Ovis aries: one gene and its partner. The protein of the gene in region 2 purifies or fractionates together with the protein of the main gene of each other region. This does not show direct contact. Links are inferred from orthologs where the notes say so. Each region holds a gene or a part of one and is shown on either strand. Other genes may lie near its edges.

Region 1 (3,645 bases), on a different chromosome or scaffold from region 2:
TTTAATTATGCTTCAGTTTCTACACCTATATAATGGGGACAATGCCCCAACCACCTCAGAAATTGTTTTAAGGATCAACTGAAATAATGTAAAAATATTTTGCAAAAAATACAATGTTAATTAAAAATATAAGGTTTTATCAGTATCTTTTCAATGACAGAATATGTTTAAGAATATTTCAATACTGTAATATTATTCATTTATCAAATAACAACCAAAAACTGCTTATCTCAATTTTAATAGATTAACATAAAAATGGGAAAAGGTCATTTAAAAATTCCCCAGAAATTCAAATGGCCAATGAATTGTCACACATGATTACAAGTAGGACTTGCATCCATATCTCCATTCATTCATATCTCTGTCTGCATGTGTATATTACATCTAGTAATCATACAACACACATTTTTAGAAGTTACTCATTTTTTCCTAACAAAAGCAAAAGTATTATTTAAAAGATGAAGAAATTGAGGAAAAAAGATTAAGCCTTTTACCTAAGTAGTATTGACTCTAAGAGATTAATATTCAAACCTCTTGACAGTGAAAACCAGTACTATTTTTAGTATCCACATTTTTTCTTATTAATATCAAACTCTAATAAATGGAAGGGCGTATGGCTCAAATTTTAATCATATCTTCTTTAAACAGCAAAAGCAATTAAAAGGGAGTTTATATCCTTTACTTTACCATCAAACACCATTAAAGGAGATTTTATTTATAACTCAAACACTTCCAAAAAGCCCTTTCAATTAAAATATTAAATTTAAATTAAAAACTACTCGAGTGACTCTCATAAACAAAGCTCCCCAGTTGGGTACTAAACTCCAAAACCTTTCTGATCTCCAGCCCAAGCCACTTCTACCTGCTTTGCCCATATCTTTTCTCTCCTTACCCCTCAACTATGTAGTATGACCTCTCTTCATTCTGAAAGAAAGGAATTGTTCCTCTTTTATTAGATAGAAGTAGGAATTTGGGAAATTTAAGGATTTATTTTCAAGCCAGGGTAAGGTAGAAGACACTCAATAATCCTGTACCACTACATATATATTTATCCTTTCCACTTATGAAATTAGTTGAAGAAAACACTGAAAAATAATTTTAAAGTAAAAAGTTAAATTTTATAAGATCATGAGTTCAGTTCAGTTTAGTCGCTCAGTCGTGTCCAACTCTGTGCAACCCCATGAACTGCAGCACGCCAGGCCTCCCTGTCCATCACCAACTCCCGGAGTTCACTCAAACTCATGTCCATAGAGTCGGTGATGCCATCCAACCATCTCATCTTCTGTCGTCCCCTTTTCCTCCTGCCCCCAATCCCTCCCAGCATCAAAGTCTTTTCCAATGAGTCAATTCTTCGCATGAAGTGGCCAAAGTACTGGAATTTCAGCTTCAGCATCATTCCTTCCAATGAACACTGAGGACTGATCTCTTTTAGGATGGACTGCTTAGCTCTCCTCGCAGTCCAAGGGACTCTCAAGAGTCTTCTCCAAAACCACAGTTCAAAAGCATCAATTCTTCAGTGCTCAGCTTTCTTCACAGTCCAACTCACATCCATACATGACCACTGGAAAAACCATAGCCTTGCACTAGATGGACCTTTGTTGGCAAAGTAATGTCTCTGCTTTTCAATATGCTATCTAGGTTGGTCATAACCTTCCTTCCAAGGAGTAAGCGTCTTTTAATTTCATGGCTGCAATCACCATCTTCAGTGATTTTGGAACCCCCCAAAATAAAGTCTGACACTGTTTCCACTGTTTCCCCATCTATCTCCCATGAAGTGATGGGACCAGATGCCATGATCTTCGTTTTCTGAATGTTGAGCTTTAAGCCAACTTTTTCACTCTCCTCTTTCACTTTCATCAAGAGGCTTTTCAGTTCTTCTTCAAGATCATGAGTAGACATAATAAATTACACACCCTGATACTGCTGACATTTAGATTCACTCCTGTTTTTCATTATTATAAATAAACAGTAAACACAAATCTCTGAGGGTTTCTCTGAACATCTTCTAAGATAAATTTATAGAAATGGAATTAACAGGACAAAAAGTATGAATATTTACATCTGCCAAATTATCCTCTAGAAATTTACCCCGTACTGTTGATAAAACTGCTGTTAGTAGTAAGACTATCCCATTAAAGAAAACAGTATGAATATTAGCACCAAAAAAAGTACAGCCAAACCATGTGCCTAGTTCATAGAAAATAAACAACAATGATACATAATGTTTCTGTTTAAAAACTGTCAAAGGTCTTTTTGTTTCATTTTTAAGGCTTATTTCTTTTAATGGCAATGCCTACTAGTGACATGGGGCAAGAAGGAGAGAGGGAGTGAGTGGGTGAGTGTGTGTGTGAACACCTACTAGCTATGGAGAGTGAGTAAGTGTGTATGTATGTGTGTGTGTGTATGTTGGGGGTACTTTCATACAGTTAGTATAAAAGATGAGGCAATCTAACCAACCCCCAGCCATATTCCTCCATGAAAACCCTTAATACCAGTTCCTAATAATCAAAGAAACTTTTTTTTTTTTTTTTTTTGTTAGGAAGATATTTTCTGCCTATCAAAATACCCAAGATTTGGGGCAGACTTTCTTAGAAATAAATACAAGTAAAAGACTATGGAGGCAAAATTTCCTGCAGGAAACTTCAGTGGAAATTAAAAATGCTAACTTGAGAGCTATTTGTTTGGTTTCCATGTGAAAACTATTAGCATATATTTTAAAAAGATAACATTTGAAATCTCAGGGCAAAGGGAAAGATAACACCTCAGGGACTGAGAAAATCAGCAACTGTCATGAATAGCATGAGACTGAAGCTATTATCCATGTCTTTTAGCCAGAATAAAAACATTATGGGCACCAGAGCAAGAGAACATGATCCTCTGATGTGAACAGACTTACCATCTCTGACAGGTGAGAACATATCACCTAAACTACTTTTTCCAGAATCATCAAAGCCAGAGAAATCCTGATTTTTCCCACTCTCCGTTTCCTTTGATAAAGTATCGGTGATTATGCTTCGAGGCAGACCTTATAGAAATTGGACATAAAAATAAGTTATTATATTGAAATAAGTTTATCATGAGAAGCTAGGAACTAAAAACTAATGTCTTACCTATATCATTGGAAACACTACAACCAAACAACAGGTCAGTTAACCATCATTTTCATGGAATGAAGGGCTCTTAAAAGCAACTAACTTATTTATATATCACCACTTTTTAAATCTATTTTGATAGAACTTTTCTAAATATTTTATGTATTTTTCTTACACAAAGTATACTGAGCACAGCTTATTTTTGTTAGTGACTGACTCAGGATCACCTACAGTGATTAAAAAATGTCTCTAAGCCATCAAGTACAACACCAAACACACAGCAGTATTCAAATGATGTTAGTTCCCTTTCCCAACTTGCAGTGATGGATCTCTTCTTTTCCCTTCTTTATCTTTTTCTTCACTAACAGTGGGAACCTAACATTGCTCTTAGCATTACTGACCTTAAAGGCCTTCACTAACCTTAGGACAGCTTCCAGACAGGAAGGAAACCAGAACACCAAACTCATAAAGAACAGTACAGTAGACTAATAACAGAGACACGCAGCTATGCGGAAATTTTGCTTTCTCTCTCAATATGACTTTAGGGCAGGGA
Region 2 (4,423 bases):
ACTGGAGTAAGGGAGACTCCAGGACTTACCACACAGTCAGCGTTCTGGGTCAGCCTCTTGAGCGTGAGCAGTGAGTTGTAGGGCTGGACCACCACATCGCTCATCTCGTCCTGGTTGGGAAACACTGAGTATGTCTGCACCAGCTTCTTGGGGTACCTAGTGGTGTTTGCGAAAGGATGGTCAAGGGCAACAGACTAGAGGCTTGGTAAACTTGGGGCTTCTAGTGACGGTCAGGATGGGGAAATTGCGGTTCGGGTCATAGGACAGCAGAGAAGGGAGACCTGACTTTTGGCAGTCTGTAACCCAAAAGGGGGGAAGGGCAGAGAGACATCTTAGGACCTAGAGTTTTAATTCCAAATCAGGCTTACTCCCTGAATCTTCATCAAAGATCAGGATTCTAGACTCTGGTTCCAACCACTAGGAGTGTGATTGGGTTCCTGGTCATTGTACCTTTCCTTCCTCAATACAGCAGGGAACGGAAGGGCCCTTTCCTGCTCCAGTGAATGGGAAGGTTTTATCTGGAGGGCCTCCCAGTCACCTGGGAAACCAAATCCTCTCTGCCCTTCAAAACAGACTTACCTGTCATTGAGCCGTTCTAAGAGGTAGGAGCCCAGGCCAGAGCCTGTTCCCCCAGCGATGGAGTGACACAGCACGAAGCCCTGCATGGGGAAGGGGCGGTCAGTATCTAGGTTTCAAGTGGCAGGATTTCCAATTTTACCCATCTCATAACTTCTTGGACTCCTATCTTCCCAAGACCTCTCCTCCACTTCCCTCCCCCACCGCCCCCCCCCCCCCCCACAGATTAGCAGACTGTTCGTTATTTCCAACAAGGCCCTGTGGCTTCTGTCCAGTGCAAAGGCTGCACGGGGAGGGTCCCACACCTAACAGATGGCTTCTAAAGGGTGCTGCCTAGCGGTCCCCTGCTGGCCGTCACCGGCATTCCTAAGATGCTCACCTCTAGGCTGTCGCTGCCATCTGCCTCCCGGTCTATGATGTCGAAAATGTCCTCGTGGATCTTCTCTCCCTGCACAGACATGGAGGGCATCAGAGTGGGGCAGGACTAAGCAACAAGACTAAGGGCAGGACTTTGGCCTCGGAATAGCCACCCTCCATTCTCCTTATAGTACCTAAAAGTCCTTTTTGGAACACAGTGGTCCTGCTTTTTGTTTGCACTAAAAGGTAGTACAGCCTGGTGGTTACGAGCAGAGTCTCTACATCCAGACTGCCTGAATGCCTATATTAGCTCTAGGTCTAGTTAGTCGGGTGCTACTTCATCTCTCTATACCTCAGTTTCCTCATCTGTACAATGAAGGCACTAATACAGGTCCACAGTGCCTTATCTAAAATTCTTGGGGCATTATGTTTCAGAGTTCAAATATTTCAGATTCTAGGAGGGCTATATGGTGTGTATAACACAAGCTAAGTAGAACATCAGTGGGGCAGGGGTCTGAGCAGTGCTAACCAAATACATTAATATTTCTTTAGTGAAAGGAATGAGAAGTGGCAGCAAGTTGAACAGAAACTATAAACTAGCTTATCTCTATTGAGATTCAGTTTTGCTGCTAAATGAGTAGTTATAAATCCTCTTTTGGTTTCAGAGTTTTCTGGATTCTGGAAACCTACAGAGACTGTGGACCTGTAGTACCTACCTCTAGGATTGTTGGAAGGTCTGGGTAAGTTAATTTATGTAAAACACTAACAATGGCCTGGCATCCGGCATGAGCCAAGTGCAGTCTCTTATGACCATTACATAGTTCGCTCAGAACCCCCTCAGTCACATCTCTCTCTCCACTCATATATTCTCCATCTGGTTTATCTTCTCTTTAGGAAGTCATAGGGCCAGTCCCCATGCAGGAGTGGAGTTCTTCTGCCAGGGAACAGCAAATGACCTGGGAGAATCCACTGGCCCAGTTGTTGCCAGCTCCTCCTCCGTGCTCCGACAGGTAGATGTTCTCTGGGTTGTAGAGCTTGGCATAAGGGGAGTTGAGAATGGAGTGGATCACCCTAGGCTCCAGGTCCAGCAGCACTGCCCTCGGGATGTAGTGCTCATCGTCTGCCTGTAAAGGGGAGTTTAGGATGGGCCCAATCAGCTCGGGCCTGCCCAGTCCTCCAGTCCTCCCAACCCTGATCCTGCCTCCCTCCCTCTTCAAGCCAGCCTCCCTGGCTCCTCTGCCTAGTGGGCTTCCCAGTACCAAGCCACTACCCTTCCCTTCAGAACCCCTGGGCCACTACCGGCCCTGGCTAAGTCCCTGGGGGCACCTGGTAGAAAAAGACGTCCTTGCGATCAGTGCCCTCGGTGGCGAACTCCTCCACGATGCCCTCGGGGCTGATACCATGCTCGGCGCACAGCTGTTTCCAGAACTCGAACCCAACTGACGGGAGGAACGAGGGCGGGAAGAAAGAGGATATCTGGGTCTGGGCAGGTTCCAACTAGGAGCTGGGGGACTCAATGCCTGGGTCCAGCGATAGGAAGTCAAGCTTCGGGAGTCTCTCGTGTCAGAGGAAAGGGCAGTATATCAGCGACTGGGCAGAGGAGGGCCCCTTGGGGTTGAGCAGCTGGATACTGGGTCAGGCATGTCCCACCTTTCGGAGAACTACGATTCTGGGAAGGGCAGATGGAGTTCAGGATCCCACAGCGAGATCCCGTAGAACCTAAGAAACCCTGGCTAGTGGAGGGGCCGGAAGTTCGCTCACTCTGATTGCCGCACTGGCCCAACTGTAGGGTGATGATCTCCCTCGGCATCTCTCCTCTGGCAGCTGCGTTGCAGCCGCTCTGTACAGCAAAGCTACCGCTCTCGCCACAGAAAAGCTGCCTCTCCCGCCAGCAAAGCCGCCGCTCGCTAGCCCGTTACACTGCGCATACGCCAAAACTTGCCCCGCCCCCAAACTTCCTCTGTTCCAATGAAAACTGAGTTCTGGCGAGGGCACTTCCTTACTCGTTCGGCTTCAGCCCTGCAGACTGCGCGTGCGCAGCTCCTGATTGGGGCGCCGGGGACGTAATTTTGACGCAGTGTTCTTCTTTCTGGGATGTACGCGACCAAGGGCCTTCGCGCAGGCGCGTGTGCAGGGATGCAGCCTCCCTCGCCGTTTCGCGCATCTGCGCAGTTGAGATTATTGTGATTGTCGGGCCGTGGCCCCGGATGTTGTGGCTGCCGGGGGGAGATGGCGGAGGCAGAGGGGGTGGCCGTGGCCCCAGGCCCAGCCTCCGGTCAGACTTTCAAGGGTCGCCGCCCTATGTCAGGCTCCTGGGAGCGAGACCAGCAGGTTGAGGCGGCGCAGCGGGCCCTGGTGGAGGTGCTGGGGCCTTACGAGCCTCTGCTGAGCCGAGTGCAGGCAGCCCTGGTGTGGGAGCGGCCAGCCAGGAGCGCCCTGTGGTGCCTGGGGCTGAACGCGGCTTTCTGGTGAGAGAACTGGATCCTCGGAAACCCTCCGAGGCGCGAATTCGTCAGGTTTCTCTAAGGCTCTATCTCTCGCCTCCTTTGTTTTCTTCGCTGCACTGGCTCCTACCTGTACCTGCCTAATTTTGTCTCACCTCCTTCCACTCTATCCCGCCTGAGGCTTTGGCACCGCAGTTCTTAGGGCCTTCCAGTTGTTCCCCCTGCTTTACGTGCACCCTCGCCCCGCACATCTGGCAGGAGCTTCTAGTAACATCTTGCGCCGCTCGCAGTGAGCGAAGGCGCCTCATTTTAGCCAAGAGAAGCTGTGTTCCGTTAAGGCCATCACCTCCCTTCTCTTGTCTGCTCAACAGCCTCGAGATCTTAGTACTTATTGTTGGAGTAGATGAGTAAGGCGTGAGATCTTGAAAAGGGATCCATAGGTGTAACAAGGAAACATGCTTAAACGACCTGAATTAGCATGTTAGATAGACATCTTTTTGCCCACTCAGGAAGTTTGCGAAGTCTGGGAGTCCTTGAGAGCCTCCATAACTGCAACTTGAAAGAAAATTACAAGCTTTTGAAGACAGTTATGAAATAGTAATTGTGGGATTTCACCCATTTCAAAGCCACTTAAGACGACTTCTCCGTGTTCCAAGGAATTAGAGAAGCATCCTTCACCACGGTTTATATGCAAGGAAATTGAGGGTGTCTAATAGTGTTTTGTTTTTCTGAGCTGGGATAGTAGGGCTAAAAATATGCTTAAAGAATCTGTCTGTGTCATCCTGTGTGAAAATGGAACTGCTGCTTCCCTGAGTTGTCATCTCCTGAAGTGAACTTAGGTCTTCATAGAATCTGCCAAGCAGAGTTTGGATTTATTCATAACTAGGGAAGTATTACTGATCAGATTCCAAGGGAACTCAAGTGTAGGGGGGGCTTCTACAGCTGAATGAAAAATAAAGCAGTTCTGGATAAGCCTGAAACATAACAAAGTGTATGTTTCCAAAACATAACTGTTTTTGCTAAAAATATCTTTCCTCTTGAAATTC

Evidence for each region. Proteins that work in one complex are often made in the same cells at the same time.
Region 1: the proteins of TUBG1 (region 2) and NEDD1 purify together in Homo sapiens (affinity purification with mass spectrometry; 5 studies listed by BioGRID and IntAct, with this or other methods). This does not show direct contact. The link is inferred for Ovis aries from reciprocal best matches to the Homo sapiens genes TUBG1 and NEDD1.

Annotation. Positions count from the first base shown.
Region 1 is NC_056056.1:166,687,635-166,691,279, reverse strand, and holds part of NEDD1 (protein NEDD1), read right to left. Parts: intron 3,026-3,645; coding exon 2,897-3,025; intron 1-2,896. UniProt on the Homo sapiens protein: Required for mitosis progression. Promotes the nucleation of microtubules from the spindle.
Region 2 is NC_056064.1:42,410,055-42,414,477, reverse strand, and holds the start of TUBG1 (tubulin gamma-1 chain), read right to left. Parts: upstream 2,843-4,423; 5' UTR 2,744-2,842; coding exon 2,695-2,743; intron 2,373-2,694; coding exon 2,260-2,372; intron 2,058-2,259; coding exon 1,890-2,057; intron 1,025-1,889; coding exon 956-1,024; intron 660-955; coding exon 580-659; intron 157-579; coding exon 30-156; intron 1-29. Other genes in the region: RETREG3 (reticulophagy regulator 3), read left to right, coding at 3,163-3,401. UniProt on the Homo sapiens protein: Tubulin is the major constituent of microtubules, protein filaments consisting of alpha- and beta-tubulin heterodimers. Gamma-tubulin is a key component of the gamma-tubulin ring complex (gTuRC) which mediates microtubule nucleation.